Linked DNA regions of Tamandua tetradactyla. The protein of the gene in region 1 binds, or shares a complex with, the protein of each later gene. Links are inferred from orthologs where the notes say so. Each region holds a gene or a part of one and is shown in the gene's direction. Other genes may lie near its edges. The genes, in order: AKAP13 and PKN1.

Region 1 (9,610 bases):
AGTTTTAATCGTGATCCATTTTGTGGAGGCAGCCTTTTCTTTTAATCCCTATTCAGTACTGTAGGTTGGAAACTGGATTAGATTATCTCCGCAGAGATGTGACTCACCGAATTGTGAGTATTAACCTTTGATTAGAGGGAGATGTGACTCCACTCATTCCACATGAGTCTTGATTACTGGATTTACTGGAATCCTTTAAAAGAGGAAAAATTTTGGGGAGATCCATCAGAGCCATGGGAGAGCCAAGAAAACCACAAGAGCCCACGCTGCCAGAGACCTTTGGAGATGAAGATGCAATACGCCCATGGGAGAGCTTCATGAAACAAGAAGCCTAGAGAGAAAGCTAGCACACAAGGACATGTCCACTATGTGCCTTTCCAGTTGAATTTTTTAGAGTTCAAGAACGTCATTGGACTCATTCTTGAACCAAGGTGTCTTTCCCTGGATGCCCTAAATTGGACATTTCTATAGCCTTGCTTTAATTTGACATTTTTCACAGTCTTAGAACTGTAAACTTGCAACTTAATAAATTCCCCTTTTAAAAGCCATTCTGTTTCTGGTATATTGCATTCCAGCAGCTAGCAAACTGGAACACTGGCACACAATAAACTTTTAATAGATATTTGCTGAATGAATTGAGAAACAGACAAGAGCACTGATGGGGAATCGTCAGCTCATGGATGGTATTTCAGTTTGCTAAAGCTGCTAGAATGCAATATACCATAAATGGGTTGGCTTTTACAAAGGGGCTTTATTAGTTTACAAATTTACAGTTCTAAGACCATGAAAATGTCCAAATTAAGGCCTCAAGAGGAAGCTATCTTGACTCTGAAGAAAGCCCAATGGCATCCAGGGTTCCTCTGTCACATGTGAAGGCACATGGCCACGTCTGCTGGTCCTTCCTCCAAAATGTCTCTGGGCTTCTGCAGGTCCTTGCTTGTTTCTCCCAGGACATTTCTGTCTCTGTCTCCAAGTCTCTGCGTGAGAAAAAAAACAAGTCTCTGGGTGTTTCTTTTCTCTTCCTTAATGTCTCTGAGCTCTGTACTCTGTGTCCTCTCAAAATTTGACTCCAGTAAAGGATTAAGACTCACCATGAACTGGGTGGGTCACATCTCCATGGAAACCACCTAATCAAAAGAGCCCATCCAACAATAGGTCTGCATGAACAAGCATGGATTAGAAGAACATGGCTTTTCTGGGGTACATAACAGTTTCAAACCAGCACAGATAGTGTATCAATTAGGATCTAGTGGCTACAAGTGATAGATACCTGCACTCTGACAAGCTTTATTGATTTACATGATTGAAAGTCACCATGTTGTTCTAGCTTCAGGTGTGTCTGGATTTAGCAATCAAAAATGTCACCAAGATGTTTGTCTTCCTCTTGCTCACCTTTCCACTGTGCTGGCTCCATTCTTTCAGGAAGGTTCTTTTCTCATGGTGACAAGAGGGATGACAAGCATATCCTTTGAAGTTCCAGTTGAGAAAGACTAGGTCTGCTTCCCTGATAGCTCAAACAGAGGGTAGAATCTATTCCTGTTGCCCCTGACTGGCCGGTTTGGGGTCATGTGCCCAAGTCTGAACTAATTACCATTTCTTATGGATAGAATACATTGATTGGCACAGGACTGGATTGCGTGCTGAGGCCATGGAATTATGGTGGAGTTGACTTCATGCTAAGCGAGGCCCTGGAGGCAAAAGTTCCCTCAAAGTGACATCGGGGCAGTATGTCTACCACAAAAGCAACGAAATGTCCACTGCTGTGAAAGAAGAGGCACTGGGACTTTCAAGAACCATGAGTTTCAAGGGAAATGTGTATTCTTACAAGTGTATTCATTTTGTTTTTTCTCTGTCTTCACATTGCCAGGGATTGCTGTAAAATGGGGTTATATCCTTGCTACATTTTTATCCTTTTATATTTTACAGAATGCATGTCTAGTCGACATGGAGAGACATGTCAACTAGAGTGGTAATTCAGAGTTACAAATTCCTGCCATTGCTTGATAAAGTCCTGGCATCTTTCCTGGCTTGTAAGTTCACTCTGGGAAAGTGAGAAAATTGTTCAACCTGAGATTTTTTTCTGGTAAAATGGGGCACATTGTATAGAGATATGGGTGACTTTCTGGAGAACAAATCTTTAGTATTAGGAACACTCAGTTTGAGGGCGCCTCAGTGGCCTTCTGCACACGTTCCTTCTTGCAAAGCTTTTATGGAGGCCCTGTTGTGCAGCAGACACTGTTATAGGTGCAGGGGAGTGGGAGAGGCAAGCAAAACAGGCTTCAGGGAGCTTACATTATGGTGGGGGAAATAGTCAATAAACACAGACAAAATAAATAAGGTACTTTCTGATTGGGATAAATGCTATGAAAAAATTGAAGTAATAGGAACAAGAGGGATTAGGACTGGCTGGTCAAGGAAGGTTTCTCTGAGGAGGGACATTTGAGCTGAGGCTCTGCTGTCTGGGAAACTTAGAGTAGACCCTCAGTTCTCAAAATGGGGTCCCAGACAGTGTCAGTATCATCTAAGAGCCTGCTAGAACTATAGAATCCCCAGATCCCACCTGTGCTGGTTTGAGGCTTTTGTGTACCTCAGAAAAGCAATGTTCTTTTTCCTAGTTCGATCTTGTGGAGGCAGAGTTATTGTTTGGGTGGGATCTTTTTGATTAAGTTTTTTTCTGTAGAGATGTGACCCACCCAATTGTGGGTGGAGCCTTTTGATTAGGTAGATTCCATGGAGATGTGTCTTCACCCAGTCAAGGTGGGTCTTAATGCATTTACTGAAGTCCTTTTAGACGGAACCATTTTGGAAAAAGCTCAAAGCTGACCCAGACAGAGATGTTTGGAGATGCAGAAAGAAAATGTACCTGGAAAAGCTGTTTGAAACCAGAATCCAAAGGACCAGCAGATGCCAGCCCTGTGCCTTCCCAGCTAACAGAGGTGTTCCAGACGCTATCAGCCTTTCTTGAGTCAAGGTATCTTTCTCTGGATGCCTTAGTTTGGACATTTTTATGGTCTTAAACTTGTAACTTAATAAATTACCTTTATAAAAGCTGATCCATTTCTGGTATATAGCATTCTGGCAGCATTAGCAAACTAAAACACCACCCCAGACCCACCAAGTCAAATCCACATTTAAACAAGCCCTCCCAAGTAATTCGTAGGCACAGTGAACTTCAAAAAGTGCTGGGTTTTCTGTAGCCCAACGAGAAGGTATAAATTCTGCCAAGATGGGGGCAGGGGCTCAGGGAATGGTGTTGTCTGTGGTCACTAGAAAGATGACATGTTCACATTTGCTCCTGCCTCTATAACAGACTGCCCAGGCTCTAACAGAAGGCCATGGAATTATTAGATGTTAGGGTCTAAGTGATTTTCTTAGGCCCTTTGCTTTATAGGAGACTGAGATTCTGGTAGGAGGAATGACCTGCTACTGTTAACTTCTTGGTGGCAGAGTCAAGACCAGAATCCAGGGGTATCTTCCTTCTGAGCCACCTTTTAAAGACTGAGCACAGTGTGGGGTCCAGAAACAATTTCACACGAAGAATAGATAAAGGAACTGGGGGTGTTCAGCCTTGGTTTTTATCATTCTGTGAGGATGAACTAAGAACACAGAGGTAAGAACCAGGTCTACTTAGGGGGAAGCAGATTTCCACTCAGCCTTAGGGGCGTGTCTAAGATTTAGTGCTGTGTCTAAGATTTAGTGCCATCTAACAATGGAAGTATCCAACACAGATTAGGAAGTAGTTATATGACCCTTTCTCAGGTATTTGGTCTCTGGTAGAGAAGTTACCCCAACCCTGGTTTCCCAAAATGCAGTCATTTGCATCTGTCTATCTATCTATCTGTCTAATTTGCCATATCCTGAACCAATATATTCTTTTTTTTGGAGATTTAAAACCCAGGCTTTTTAAATGGCTGAATAGTCACAGTTCTACAACAATTAGATATGTTTATAATAGAAATAATTTCACTTTTTTCATCATCACAATCAACTTTTTTTTTCTTTTTTGTGAAAAATAGCATACCAAAAAGCAATAAATTTCAAAACATATCACAACAATTTAGTTAGATCAGATTTCACAGTTTGGTATGGGTTACAGTTCCACAATTTTAGGTTTTTACTTCTAACTGCTCTGAGATACTGGAGACTAAAAGAAATATCAATATAATGATTCAGCAATCATATTCATTTGTTAAACTCTACCTTCTCTGTTATAATTCCACCATCACCTTTGAACTTTCTCCCACTGTTTAGGGGTATTTGGGCTTTCCCTATTCTAGCTTTTCATGTTGGAAGAGGCTGTTGATAACAGGGGATAGGGAGATGGAACTAGCTGATGTGCTGGAGAGGCTGGTCCCTCTGCATTTCAGGACTTATCTGGTTCACGGACCCATCTGGAGGTTGTAGGTTTCTGGAAAGTTACCCTAGTGCATGGAACCGTTGTAGATTCTCCAGTGAAGCCCTCGGTGTTCTTTAGGATCGGCAGGAATGGTTTTGGTTGGGGCTGAACCAGTGTATTCTTAAAACTGTGGTATAAAATACATGTGTAAAGTTTGTAAAGTGGACTAATCTTAAGTGCTCAACTGGATGAATTTTTACTTATGAATATACTTGCATTATCACCATCCAGATCAAGATATAGAACATTTCCAGCACCACACAGGGGTCCCTCCTGCTTCTTCCCAGCCAGTAGGGGACCCTTTTCCCTACGGAGCCACTGTTCTTCAGTGAATCACTATCAGTTTCATATAAAGTGCCTCCATTTTTTTACATAATATTTTTATTTAATATTTTTCTATACTTTTGTGTTAATATTTTTCTTTCACTTTTTTTTTTTTTTTTTACAATGTTCTCACTCGATCTAATGATTTGACTGTTAGGCATAGTTTTTCCTTAATACAAATGAAATAAACACATTAGCTAAATACAGAAGTTTCTTCGTGTACCAACTAATATTTTTTCCTGGGCCACCACTGGTAGAGTGACCACATTTTGTTTCTCAAAAGCACTAGATAATTTGAGGTCCTTTCCGACCCAAAGGCTATGATTTTGTGGTGATCGAGTTGCCAAAAGTTCCCGGAATGCACTGTTCCAATCCTGATCCCACCATAGCTCCATCTGTCCGTCCGTCTGTCCATCCATCCATCCAACTAACACTTGCTGCATACTTAGTAACGATTCGCCTAAGCGCTGGTGACACATAGAAGACTACACAGCACTTCCTGATTTCAAGAGGGGGAAAATAGAAGAGTAAATCATATCTATATGTGTGGGAGGTGCCTACAGCTCAGGTAAGCATCAGGCACACACAGGAAGAGCGGTTTCCGGAGACAGGGCGGAGAGGATTTCCAGGGACCGGGTGGGTGGGCATTTCCCAGAGCAGCCGCTGCAGCCACTCCACTTTGATCACTTTGCTGCGGCCCAGCAGCCGCGGTCAACCTGAGTCTCCCCTAGCAACAAGCACACCGCCCAGGTAACTTCCTATTGGTCTCAGGGATCTTGATGGGCAGCTCTGACGTGCAATCCTAGCTCGGGGCCCTGGGCTCGGTGCTTATTCACGGGAGGGCTTGGAGGAGTTACCGCCCTCCTCAGGGACCCCTCCTACCCTGGAGTGGCTCGCGGCGCATGCGCAGGAGGGCTGAGGCTGTGTGCGGGACCAACGCAGAGCAGGAGCAGCTACGGTGAAGTACTTGGGCTCTTCGAGACCGCCGTGTCCGCTCCTCTCCTCGGCTCGTGCCGCTTCAACCACCGTCGCAGCGGGGGGAGCAGCCGCCTGTTGTGTTTCTCTGAGGCGAAGGTGTGGAGCTGTCCGGCTCGGCCCGTGGGAGAGCCCCGGGCGCCGCGCGGTGAGAGCGCAACTTAGTTGGCGGAGTTGGGGAAGTTGTGTGATGTGAGTGTGGGGTGGTCGGGGGGCGCGGAGCGGGGGTCCCTCCCCCTGGGCCGCTGGGTCGGGGCGGGGGTCGGGGGGAGGGTCGGGCGGCGCGGGGTGCGCGGGCTGCCTGCCCGCCTCCGCGGACCTCTCCGCGCGCGGCGTCCGCGCTGCTCCGGCATTGTCTGCTCCGGGCCGAGTTGCGCCTTCTCAGGCAGCCGCCCGTCGGGACCGCCGCCGCTCCGCGCTTGGGGGGCGCGGCCATGCCGCCGGGTCGCTAAGGCCTGCGCCCCGCCCTCGCCCCGGGCTTTCCCCCTCCTGGGGCGGGCAGCGGCGGGGGGGCCCCGGGGGCGCGCCGGTGCCTCGGGTTCTGTCGGCCTCGCGACTCCTCACGCCGACAAGTGTTTCGGACGCGACTCCGCGAGGCGACCGCGGAGGGTCAGCTCGTGGGGCGCTGGCCCCCCGCACGCGTTCTCCCGGGGGCGCAGCCGGGACACGGGCGCCTGGAGGGGACGCGCGTGGGCGAAACTCGCCGCGGGAACCGTCCGACTGGCTCAACTTCTACCGAGTTCAAGTGCAGCCATATTTTGCAACCAAACTAAGCATATTTTTGTAAATATGGCCCACTGACACTTTTTTTCTTTTTTGCGAAGCCAACAGTAAAAAAAAAAAAAAAAAGGGAAATCCTCAAACAGCTTTCTTCCTTAGAAGAAATGATAGATTTTTTTTTTGGAGGGGGGAAGTAGTTCTTACAGTGGAGTGATTCCATCACGTAGAAATTTCTAGATCTGACTGTTCGGGGGTTCATGGTGGAAGCTGGATTGAGCAGTACTTTGATGTTCATTCTTAACTTTTGCACTTAGTAAAGTTATTTTGAGAGTTTATTGCCTCAGGCATAGAGAATTAAACTATAAATGCTTTTTCTTAGCCACCTCCTCCCTGCTGCCTTTTATTTTCAGAAGCAGCAGCTTATTCAGTGTTTCTAAACCATTGGCTCGCCAGATCAGGGACGATGCTGCAATTCTTGAAAGTTCTTTTTTTTTTTTGCGAGTTTGTAAGAGAGTTATGATCAGTTGAGAGAAATCAGTGTTACTGTGCTAGTATTCCTTCATGGTCTCTTGGGGATTTGCAGACTGCATTAAGTTCTAGCCTTGTTGTCAAGTTTTGGGTGCACTTATTCCCCTGAATTAATTTCATCTGGCTTATGATGTGAGAAAAATTTTGTTTAAATTTCCCAGATGGAACTAGTTTAAATATCTATCAATTCATAGTGGAACAAAATGACCAGAATGTATTAATTTCAGTTATATATCCTTTTGCCAGGTGCTAAATTAAAATTTTCAGAAATATCAGTTTGCTTTGGCTGCTGAATTTTCTCAAATTAGGAAAGTGCTCCTGGGTCTTTCTGGTTTGACCTCGTTTTGCATTGGAAACCAGCTTTATTCACTTGATGAAGCTGGAGCAAAATTTCTTTAAGAATTAGCATTGTGCTTAAAACAGTTATTGTGGTAACACATACATCGTAATATTTCCCAGTTAACCACTTTCAAGTATACAGTTTAGTGTTACTACATTAACAATGATGGTAGTACTGCATTAGCAATGATGGTAGCACAGTTCTTTAGATTACAACTGCAAAATCACTTTTAGGAGTCACATCCTTGTTCTTAAGGCTTTCTTTGTGCTGTGTGTGTGTGTGTGTGTGTGTGTGTGTGTGTGTGTGTGTGTGTGTGTGTGTGTGTGTGTGTGTAGGCGGGTAGCACAGAGGATGCAGCCAATGAGAAGGCAGAAGTTGGAAGAGGTTGTCAGGGAGGGGCATAAGGTAAACAAATACTGTTTCTGAGTCACCTGAAGGCCAAGCTGTTAGTTGCTTCCATCCTCTGGGCTCTTATAGTATGTTGCATCTACTTTTCTTTTAGGATTTTCTCACACTTCATTTGTTTGCCTAAATAGTAGCTGTACATGTGTATAGAGGGACCCCTGCTCTAGTCTAATGGCTTCTTCAGGGTAAGTGATGGGCCTTATTTAGCTTTATATGTCTACCAGCAGGCAACACAGAAGGTGTTCAATATGTGTTTGAATTGGGGGAGGTCCTTTTTACTAGCTAGTGGCAAAATGCACATGTGCCTTAAGTGTATTTGGGAGACAACCACTAATTCTGGGGACTTGTCCAAAATGACACTTCACTTGTAGACCTGTGAAGATATTTAGTTTCCTTTAAAAGAAGCTCTGTCCTTTCTTCTTTTTTAATCTGTTCATTACTTCTTGGAAAAAAAAAAATACAGGGTTTAAATAGTGTGCTATGGATTTGAAAGGTGATTCTGATTTAGATCTTTTCTTTTTTTTTTCTTCCGTGAAATTACTACGACTGCTGGACCAATCCACTCACATCACTGCCTGTATTTGCTATGTGAAATGGGGTAAGGAACACAATTTAGAGGAAGGTGCACTCTTTGGTAGGAGGTAGATTTTGGTCTTCACACTTCTGTTGACCAGTTATATAGCCTTGAGTGCATTGCTTAATCCCTTGGAGCCTCAGTTTTCTACTCGCTAAGGGGTAGTAACATACTTTATAAGGTTTTTAGGAGTAAATGAAACGATGTGAGGTATGTAGTATTGTGCTTAGCATTTAGTAGGTATCCCTTACCTGGTAGCTGTGATGATAATTTTGATACATTTTTTATATGATTCCATAAGTGTTCTTAAAAATCAGATGCTTCTGAATATAGTAATTTTGCGATTTATAAAAAAAGAATCTTCGTGAGAAATATAATTCTTAATCTAATTGCAACTTTTTTTTTTAAAGACACTCATTGAACTGAAAGTGAATAGAAACAATTGTGGTTTCACCTTCTCAGCCACCTGTCAGTCTTCCTTTGAATGGGGTTTTGGAGCGGCTTGGTAGAAGAGAACTCTCTGGGTCTATAGTTTTGAAAAATGGTGAGGGATTGATGGATTGTTTTCAACACTTTTAATAGGTTATCTGAGTTACTTAAGTTGCAGCTTTCCTTCTTCATTTTGCCTTAGTTTTAAAAAATAAGTATGGATTATGACTCCATTTCTCAGGCTTACGGTAGAACTGGACTGGGTGTTAGCACAGTGTTTGTACAATTAAGAAACCTGAACAAATCACTCACTTCCCCTATTTGAAGATGTCCCCATCTACCGAAGAATGCACTGATAGAAATCAGTTATACCAGCTCAGTTTAGAATACTTACTAAATTACATAGTGGAATAGATGCATTCTAGAATTGTTTACCTGTAAAAGATATATTGAATTTGATGTTTCCATTATTTTTCTTATAAAATCAGGGTAAACATTAGCACCTAAGGATTATAGTAACCTTTTATCGATTATATTTGACCAGACTCACAGATAGGAGTTAAAAACATCCCCGACAAAGCTAGATGTGCAAATGTGGGCTTTTGATGCCCCTCTCTTTTAAAGTTTACATTTAAGTGCACTTGAATGGGCTTGGTTGTCTGTTGGGTCAGGCGTTCCTTTGAAAGCTGTGTTCCCTGGTCAGGCAGTCGTAATGCTGACAGTGGGGAGAGAGCAGGAAGCTATTAGTGAGAGGAAGGTTATTTCCTTCATGTGTCCTCAGATTTATAGTCTTCTAGTTCACCTATAGGTTGATTGAGACATGAGTAGAAGATGAATAGACAGTCCATGATAACAGATGAATAGACAACCCATTCTTGTTGGGAGGATGGACCAGCAGACCTTGTGCTGTGAGATACTG
Region 2 (10,107 bases), on another chromosome or scaffold:
CAAGGCCCCAGAGCAAATGGTAGAGGGGAGAGCACAGTTCTTGTATATTGTCGAGGTTGTATGTTAGTCGTCCATCTCCCTGTTTTTACACCCACAGTGCTGTTCCATTTCCAGCACCAGCAAAGCCCCCAGGGGGCACCGATAAATGTTCACTGAGTAAATGAACACCGGGAGGTTAGAGTGAGAATCTGGCAAGGCTCCCCAGCTGCATCTGCGGAGGCCGCCTGGAAGCTGGCAGGCGGGAGAGGCCCATCCCTGGAAAAGTCCGTTCCTGCCAGCCCAGTCCCAGAGTCCCAGCTAAAAGGGCTCAGTCTGCCTCATGCTCCCCATCTGTGAAATGGGTCACCTGAAAACTTAGAGAGAGAAGTCACGTCCTTCTGGTCATAGACGGCAATCAGCCCGGCACTGTTATCCAGGCGAGAGGCTTCTCTTTGGGCTTTTTTTCCTCTGCAAATTGGGAGCAAAAGACAAGCTGTTAGGGTTTTAATTCAATCAACAAAAGGAGGAGGCCACCGTGGCTGGAGCAGGGTGAGCGAGAGGGGAAGCCAGAGGGTCAGGGAGGTGACGGCGGCTGGAAGGACTTAACTTTTGCTCCGGGGGAGGTGGGAGCTATGGAGGGTTCTGGGCAGAGGAGGGGGCCTGACCTGACTCAGATGTCCCTGCGCAGGCTCTCTGGTCTCTGTGGGGAGAAACAGGGAGCAGCCGCGGAGCGCAGAGAACTGGGAGGCGGCGACTGCTCTGGTCCAGGTGAGCGAATGGCCAGGTGGGGGCGGTGGAAGGGGAGAGGAATGGACAGCTCCTGGCTGGGTCTCACTCGCCTCCTCCTTCCCTTCCTCCCTCTGTTTAAATCCCCGGAGAGTGGCCCGAAGGAGCAAACCCTGCGCCTGGGTTTCTGGGACCACGCAAGCCGAGCCGAGCCACGTGTAACCGAGGCGCCCGCAGCCCTGAGCGTTGCGGCTGGTCCCGGGAGGTCGCAGCACGCGCAGGCACCGCCTCCAGGGAGCTCTCCAGGCTCGGAGCCCGGGGGACGGCCGTTTGACTCTATCACCGGGTTTCCAAGGGATTGAGGGGGTCCGGAGGCCGCCGCGAGCCCAGCTTGCTGCACTCTCGGGAGACCGGGCCGCGCGAGAGAAGTTTCCGTCCTGCCTCCGCCGCATTTATGGAGCGCCCCCTAGATGCAGCAGCTCCCGAAGAAGAGACTGCCCCCCATTTTGCAGCGGGGAAACTGAGGCTCGGCGCTGCCCGGGGATCCACAGGGCCCGCTGCAGGTCAGCGGCCGAGTTGGGATTCCCACCCCTTTTAAAGAGTGACAACGACCGTGACATAAAAAAACGACGGCAGCTCACATGTACTGAGCGCTGGCTGTGCGCGCGGCACCGCTGTCAGCACTTCGCTGTCCACTCTGGGGTTTAATGTCTCCAACCCTCGAGGGGTGGGTCCCTCCTTCCCGTCTCCCCCTGGAGGCGCTCTTAGGGGCTCGTGGCGTCCGCCAAGGCCTGGGGCCTCGGGACTGGAAACCAGCCCCGTCCCCAGACGACGGGGACGCTCCCGTGCCCTGGAAGCCAGCGCGTCTAATCCTGGGTTCAGGAGGCCTGACTTCGCCATCGGAGGAGGGTCGGGGTGCCCCGGGGGCGCCCAAAGCCCTGCGCCCCTCCCCGCTTTAACGTGGCTCCTTCTTTCCTTGGGGCGGGGCGGAGGGGGGGGACGAAGAAAGAGGCCAGCGCGCGGGGCGGGAGGGGTGGGGGGCGGACGCGAGGCCGTCCGGCAGGGAGGGGGGCGCGCCCGGCAGGCGGGACCCCGCCGCCCCAGGGGCCGCCGGGAGCCGCGCCCCCTCGCCTCGCCCCGCCCCCTCCCCGGGCGCCGACCTCGCGGTCACGTGAGCGGGCCCCGGCGGCCGCTGGGGCCGGAGGGCGCGGCGCGCGGACGCGGCGGCCGGGCCAGGCGGGGCCGGAGCCGAGCAGGTCGGAGCGGGCCGCGCGCCCCCCTCCCCCTCCCCCCGCCCCCGCCGCCCCGCCCGGGGCGCACGCGCGCTCCTCTCCCGGCTCCTCCCTCCGCGCGGGGACCCCCGGCGGGCGGCGCGAGGACATGGCCAGCGACGCCGTGCAGGTAGGCGCACCTGCGTCCCACGCCGCGGGGGCCGCGCGCTGGCGGGACCCCCCACGCCGGGGCGGGGCAAGCGGGGGCCTCCCGAGCGCCCGGCGCCCCCTCCCGGGCCGGGAGCCGCGGAGCCAGCCCGGCCCCCCATCTCGACAGGTGGAGGTACGGACCCGAGGGGGGCGTGCGGGGAGGGCCGGGCAGCCCCCGCCGCGCCTCGGAGCCCGGGCCCTCCCCGAGAACTGGAGGGGGGCGCGGCGGCGGCGCGACGTGGGGTGTCAGGGGCTGGTCTGCGCGTCCCGGTGCCTGTCACCCACCCTGCATCCACTGTCCACCCCCCACTCCCCGGCACGCGGCTCCCGGCAGGTGCCGCTCCTCCTGGGACAGGTGCCTGGCGCGGGGCCCGGGGAGGGGAGGAGGCCGCTGGCCCGGCCCCTCCCCCGCATCGCAAAGCTCCAGAGGCCCCCGCCTCCCGACAAGACATTTACCATTTACGATGGCCCCGACGCCAGCCCGATTAGCACCTGTTGGCGGAAGTCCCCGAGTCACCTCATTGGGTCGGGGCCCCCCCCACGCCCACTCTCGGGACTGCAGGTGGGACCTTCTCTGCCCTCCCAAGTGGGCTGGGCTGGGGTGTTCAGGTGGGGAATTGCCACCATACCTGGAATCCTACTTGCCTGTGGGCGCCAGGGGTGTACCCCATTAAATGCCACCCCCCTTGCTTGTGACTGGCACCATCCAGGCGCTGCCTTGGCCTCTCTGACCTCCTTGCTTTGGACTCAGTCTCCCCATCAGTGACAAGCAGGGCAGGTGGCCTTGGACCTTTCTTGGATTGCTTGACCCAAATCAGACATGCCCTGTGCCTCTGGTGCCCGCTGTCAGCATTCCACCATCTGGTCATTTGTCCCGTGGTCTCATTGTAACCGGGTTCTCGTCTCCTTCTGCACCTGCCCCTGTCCCCTCTGTGTCTCCCCCGTGACCCACCATGCCCCCCTCCCCCAGTCCTGCTGATGGCCTGCCAGCCTTGCCGAGGAGCTGGGCGTATCTGGTGTTGCAGAGCGCACAAGGTCAGACCTGGGAAGGGGGTGGGCCGGGGTCCCTGCCTCCTCCCCCGGCCCAGGGTGGGGGGCTGTGTAGGAGTCCCCCAGGTGCATGCATACGTTGGGCATGTACCATGCGTGACCCAGACAAGGCTGTGACTCCCAGAATGAGGCTGGGCCCGTGCCCTGGTCCCCCCTTCCAATCCCTTGCCTGCCCTGTGCTCCCCTCCTGTTCCTCCCTTCCCCGTGGATCTTGGGCCTGCTGCCCCGTCCCTCTGTCTTTCCCGACATGTGCCTGTCTGTTCTGTGTCCGGCAAACGGATGTCCTATCCACATTCTGGAAACGCCCAAGGCATTGAAATCTCTGGACATGGGGGTCTAGGCCCATGGCTGCTCTGGGAAGCAGGGATTCTCCGAGGCTGGCCTAGGCCCCCTGAATTCCTGGGTTCTCCTCACTGGGCCTCAGGTGACCCCTTACCCTGGGGTAGGAGTGAGTCACCCGGGGAGGAGGACCGGAGAGGCCGGGCCCCCCTCCCTGCCTGCTCTGCATTTTCTCAGGCATCCGCTGCCGGGAGGTGGGGCCCAGGGAGGCTGGACTTCCCCATCTGGGCTGGCCTTGCTCCTGGCTGCACCCCTGCTCGGCCTGTCTAGGATAGGGGTAGCTGCTTGGGAGGGGATATTTGAGGGGAGCCTGGGTTTAAACCCCAAGGCTGCCACTTGCTCACTGTGTACCCTGGGCCAATGTCTTTGCCTCTCTGAGCCTCGGTCCTGTCACCAGAAGAGATAGACACCAGACAGTGCTCGGAGCTGCTTCCAAATCGATACTCTTTCCACCATGGTGTCCCATCCTTAGCTGGATCCTGGGCACTGAAGGTGTTGAGGAGCCTTCCTGGTCTCCCCCCACTGAATGCCAGGACCACCTCCTCTCCTCCCAGTGTGACAACCGAAAGTGTCTCTGCCCATTGCCAAATATTCCCTGGGAGCAGAATCACCCCAATTTACTCTGGATCAGGGGATCTCATTGATACCCGAGACCCTGCATCCCATAATTATCTGACTTACTGATGTCCTGTGATTCTGCATGCGTTTAAATACACAAACTGAGTGGCAAGGGACAGAGGAGGTAAATCCCAGAGGTTTACGCTGTCTCACTCATGGGGAACTGATTCTGATGTGTGGTGTGAGCTAGGGACCGAACCCAATTGTTTTCCTGAATAATTAATGCAGGGTTTCTCAGCTGGGGCACCACTGACTTTTGGGGCCGGGTCATTCTTCATCATGGGGGGCCGACGTGGGCATCATGGGATGGTGAGCAGCCGCTCTGACCTCAACCCACTAAGTCCCAGTAGCAAACCCCTCCCCCCAGTTGTGATAACCAAAAAGATCTCCAGACATGGCCCAGTGCCCCCAGCAGTGGATATAAAATTCCCCTCCACTGCTCATTTCAAAATTCTGTTATAACTCCTCCACGCCTGTTTCTTCGCCTGTTTAATGGGGAGAATAGTGGCAGTTGGTCAGGGGCAGATGGCGACGGCTTTTCTCATCTGTGAAGTGAGTGACCCCAGCTGACGGAGGTGATGTCCATGGGGCACTTAGTGCCATGCTGACCCCCAACCCGGGCTTGGGTGCTGGCCACTTCTGTTTTGGTTCCCAACCCTGCCTCCTGCTGGCCGTGGGAACTTAGAGCAAGTTACATGACCCCCCACCCCCACCCCAGGCCTCAGTTTCCTTATCTGGAACATGGGGTGGTGTTAGTTAATCTGGGAGAAGTTTCTAGTAACTGCTATTAGAAATAGGCATGCTTGGCCGTTGGTATGTGCCCAGCTGGCGTTGTGAGGGTTGCTGGTTTTGGCTGATCTGTGCCCCAGCCCCCCAGTGCTGTCCTCTCTCTGTGTCAGCCTCAGGGCGGTCCCACCAGCCTTTCAGCTGTGGTTGGCAGCAGCGGGCCAGTCGGGGACGAAGCAGGAAGTCAGGGCAGCCTCAGCCTGCAGGAAGGGGGCCTGGTCTCTGTAGCACTCGCTGTCCTGACCCCAAAGGGGAAGTCAGGGACAAGGGGCGGGCAGAAGCATCTGGCTGTAGGGACACACGCAGGTATCAGCAGAGCTGAAGGCCCGTGGGAGCATGGGGAGGCCATGGGGGCCTCGGAGAGCGTGTGGGTATGTGTGTGTGTGTAGTGTGTGTGTGGCACCCACGTGGGCAGGTGGGAACGTGTATTGTACAAAGTTTGGGGGGGCATGTAAATATTCTCAGGCACATGCATAGAAGTATACACATGCGTGGGCGAGGGAATGTGCACACACCTGAAATCATTGTCCCATATGCATATCTATAGCTGTGGGAGTGTGCACACTTGTGGAAGTGAGAGTGTGCACACATGCCTGAGTTTGCGTTCCTTGCACACACCTGTAGATTCAGGAGTGTACACACATAAGTGAATCTGTATTCCGTGTGCACACCCATAGATGGGAGAGTGTACATGCACTTGTGAGTCTGCGTTCACGTGCGTGAGCTTGTGTTTTGTGTACTTGTCTACTGGTACGTGAGAACAGGCAGCCACCCAAGCCTTGGGAGCATGTGCATGCTCACGGATGCCTATTTGTCACATACATGCCAGTGGCATGGGAGCATACCCACCAGGGTGCCTCGGGGAAGCAGGCTTGTCCTGGAGGAGGGGTTATAAGGAAGGTCCCCGAGATGCCCTGGTGCCCGGGCTGGCCGTGGGGGCTGCCGGGAGCTGGCAGGAAAGAGGAAGTGGCGGGCGAGAGGCCCCGGCAGGGCGGAGGCTCAGGAAGAGGGCGGGGCCCTCACCTCGGACCCGGGATGGCGGAGGCTGAACCCCCTTCCCACCAAGAGCTGGAGGTGGGGCTGGGGTCCCTGTGGGGACTAGCGGGACAGGACTGGGTGGGTGGGAGACGGGCTCTGGCCGCCATACGTCCAAGTTTTGGACAGAGGAGAGGAGATAAGACGGGGGCTGCAGAGTCTTCATTTTGGAGGAAGAAGAGATTTGGGGATCTTTGGGACTCCCCCAGTGGGGAGACGTGGGAGGAAGGAGATCTACTCTGTTCTTTAGGGTCCTAATTGTAGAGGTCGGGGGAGCTGGGGGGGAAGCAGGGCCTGCTCTCAGCACCTACTAGTTTTGGGGGGACAGAGAGGGGGCACAGGGCCTACCCTTAGCGTCTCCTAGTTTGGGGAGACAGCTGAGGGGAGATAGACCTGCCCTAGGCCCCTGCTCCTTTGGGGGCTCAGCACTGGGGTGCTGGAGCCTCCCTCTGGAGTCCACTGCCTGAAGGACAGACAAAAGGAAGCAGTGCTGTCTCTGGGGGGTCCTCTAGTCTGGGGGGCCAGGGCCTTGCCAGTTTTGGGGTCTCTGAAGAGCAGGTCAGGCTCTTGTTTTTGGGAGTCCTGATGTGGGGGGAACCTTCCTGGCTCCTCTGACCCTGCCCTGTCACCTGCAGAGTGAGCCGCGCAGCTGGTCCCTGCTGGAGCAGCTGGGCCTGGCGGGTGCGGACCTGGCGGCCCCCGGGGTGCAGCAGCAGCTGGAGCTAGAGCGGGAGCGGCTACGGCGGGAGATACGCAAGGAGCTGAAGCTGAAGGAAGGCGCGGAGAACCTGCGTCGCGCCACCACCGACCTGGGCCGCAGCCTGGGGCCCGTGGAGGTGCTGCTGCGTGGCTCATCACGCCGCCTCGAGCTGCTGCACCAGCAGCTGCAGGAGCTACATGCCCACGTGGTGCTGCCCGACCCTGTGGCCACCGCCCATGGTGAGCTAGGAGGCCCGGGGGGCGTGGGGCACGCATGCCACCTCCACCGCTGGGCCCGGGCGTACAGTACCAGCTGCTGAGAGACATGCACCACCAACTGTACACATGCAGTCACACCAACAGGCAGACATGCACCCCCAGCTGTGCATATGCAGTCATACCAACAGGCAGATATGCACCGACAGGCAGACACGCACCACTAGCTGTATACACAGTCACACCAACAGGCAGACATGCACCCCCAGCTGTACACATGCAGTCACACCAGCAGGCAGACACGCACCCCCAGCTGTATATGCAGTCCCACCAACAGGCAGACACACACCCCCAGCTGTACACATGCAGTCCCACCAACAGGCAGCCATGCACCCCCAGCTATCCACAGAGTCACACAACAGCAAGAGACACAGTATCGACTGCTGACCTCCAGAGAGATATACGTGGTCACACCCACTCCCAGACATGTACCACTGGCTACATACACACAGTCGCACCAACAGGCAGACATGCACCACTGGCTACATACACGCAGTCATATCAACACCCAGACAGGCAACACTGGCTCCAAAGACCCCAAAGGGACACGTGGTCTTGGCAACACCAAGTCTTTTAATACAGTCATAGCAAACACTGCAATCTGCAGTCACACCAATACCCTGAGACTCACCCACAGTCAATACCAACACCCAGAAAATGCCAGAAGACTCTCTCACAGTCCCACCAACACCTGGACAGCACCCAGAGACACACATGCCCAGCTGTACCAACACCCAAAGATTCCCACGCAGACTCACACAGCACCCAGGGGTCCCAGTTCGTAGCTGTATGAATGGAAACGTATGCATAGGGCCACCTCAGTACCTGGCATCTCACGATCGTTCCATCACCTGACATCTCCCAGTTACACACATAGCAGGCGGGAGACACACAGACCTCCTCACACCCACAGTCACTCACACTCAGTTGCATTAACCTCTAAGGACTCAGACACCTGAATAAATAGTTGGGGATTCCCACACATGCTTGCACCAATGTCCAGGAACTTACACCACCTGCCTGTGCTCACTTATGTTGGGTCATGCCACTGAAGAGGGGTGGGGGGATATTCCTGGGGTGGCTGGGGGTGGCTAGAAGTTTCTGGGCCCGGGTGTCCCCTACCGGCCTGTCCGCTGGTGCTGGGGGCCATAGTGACGTGCTCTTTCCCGCCCCCTCCAGATGCACCCCAGTCCCCCGGAGCGTGTGGCTCGGCCTGCTCGGCCACCAATCTGAGCCGTGTGGCTGGCCTGGAGAAGCAGCTGGCCATCGAGCTGAAGGTGAAGCAGGGGGCCGAAAACATGATCCAGACGTACAGCAACGGCAGCACCAAGGTGGGGGCCATGCATGCACATACGCACCCACCCACACGTACGTGTACAATCTTACACACACATTCCATACATAGGTGTGCACTCACCCTACATGCACACATATACCTGTACACATTTACCTGTGTGTGCACACATGCCCCCTATTAACATACTTCCTACACACACACACCTGTATGCATACTTGGAGACAGGATCGGGATGCAGGTAGCTCCTAGGGGCATATGAGGAGTGTGTTTGTGTTGGGGGGGCGGGGGGGTGATGTCAGAAGGACCATCACGGAGATTTTTCGTTGTGGTAAAAGGCACATCGTAACACAGGCCATCGCCCCTCCCCCACCTCTCATCTTGCCCCTTTGGTGGGCCCTGGACAGGGTCCTAGAGGAAGCCCAGTGGCCGTCATGCACACACTGGTGTCAGATGTCTGGCCCAGGCTCTGTGGTGGTGACCTGAGGAACTTGCTGTCCCAGAGCTTGTCCTGCCCATGCAAAGGGCTCCCAGAGCTCCCCAGGGAAAGCCATCACGTGGCTGCCAGGGGCAGGGATTGCCCAGGGCAGTGGCCAGGGCCTTGAGGACACTGCTTCCTTGGGAAGAAGGGGTGTTCGTGCCCAGGTGTATGGGCGGATTCTAGACCTAAGACAAGAGCATGCACAGAAAGGACCCGGGAGGCCCCTGTCTTTGGCCCGGAGCTGCTCTCTGAGCTCACCGTCTGGGTAACCCCCCGATGGAAGCAATCCCCCAGGCCGCTCTGCAAAGACCTGCATAGGTGTCTCTTCCTCCTCTTCATCCCACCACCTCCTCCTCCACCGCCTCCTCTTCTCTTCTTGTTAGCTCCTGGCATCCAGGGAAAGCTCTGTCACAATGCTAGCTGGAAGTTAAACAGATATCAAAGCAAGTGACATGGATTAGAATGTTATAGATTTAGGATGTTAAATTTCAGTCCCAGGCAACCACAAAGAAAATATCAGAGAATAAGCAAGCTCAGAGAGACAGAAAGTGGAGTCAAGCTTGGCAGGGGTGGGGGGCAGAGGCAACGGGGAGTTTGTGCAAAACGAGGTGAGGTTTCTTCTTGGACGGAGGGGAAGTTCTGTAATGGATAGTGGTGAGGGTACCGCAGCATCGGGCGTGTGATAAATCCCTCCGAATGGCAGGCCTGGGAGGGGATGGGATGGAGATTTATGTTGCATGTATGTTCCCGCTAAGATAAACCAGAGAGATAATGACAAATGCAATAATATGTGGTACTGGATGGAGTCTAAGAAAATGGAGGAGAAAAGGCTCAAAAGGACATTTTAGGGACATAAGAAAAATTGGAATATGCAACGTAAACTTTGTATCAGTGTTAAATTTCTTGAACTTGGTGAGTGCACTTAGGGTGACTAGCCTTGTTCGTAGGAAATGTATATAGGAGTATTGTATGTTTAAGGAGTATGGCATGTGCTACCTGCTGTCAGATGTTCAGAAGGTAGGTTGGTAAGTAGGTAGGTAGGTAGATACATGGATAATACATAGATAAGAGATACATGATTGAAAGATAGGAATATCTGCCATGGTAGGTGTATGTTGGAGTTCTCTGAATGGAGTTTGTATTCTTTTTGCAATTGTCCTGAAAGTTTGAAATTATTATAAAATGAAAAGTTAGAAAAAAAAATTGGCCACTGCAACCGTTTGAAAGTGGAAAATTCAGAGACATTAAAGCACTTTCAGTGTTCTGCCCCACCCCCTTTATCTAGTTCCAGAACATTCTCATCACCCCAAAAGGAAACCCTGTCACCATCAGAGGTCACTCCCCGTCCCCCCTACCCCCAGCCACCACTAATCCGCTTTCTGTCTCTCTGGATTTGCCCATTC

Evidence for each region.
Region 2: AKAP13 (region 1) and PKN1 share a complex: the UniProt entries of both Homo sapiens proteins name them as parts of the signaling complex. The link is inferred for Tamandua tetradactyla from reciprocal best matches to the Homo sapiens genes AKAP13 and PKN1.

The regions. Positions count from the first base shown.
Region 1 is NC_135338.1:93,201,580-93,211,189, forward strand, and holds the start of AKAP13 (A-kinase anchor protein 13), read left to right. Parts: upstream 1-5,511; 5' UTR 5,512-5,843; exon of another isoform or gene 5,844-5,887; intron 5,888-6,076; coding exon of another isoform or gene 6,077-6,427; intron 6,428-9,610. UniProt on the Homo sapiens protein: Scaffold protein that plays an important role in assembling signaling complexes downstream of several types of G protein-coupled receptors.
Region 2 is NC_135337.1:88,508,705-88,518,811, reverse strand, and holds the start of PKN1 (serine/threonine-protein kinase N1), read left to right. Parts: upstream 1-5,899; 5' UTR 5,900-5,954; coding exon 5,955-5,993; intron 5,994-6,589; coding exon 6,590-6,893; intron 6,894-8,108; coding exon 8,109-8,260; intron 8,261-10,107. UniProt on the Homo sapiens protein: PKC-related serine/threonine-protein kinase involved in various processes such as regulation of the intermediate filaments of the actin cytoskeleton, cell migration, tumor cell invasion and transcription regulation.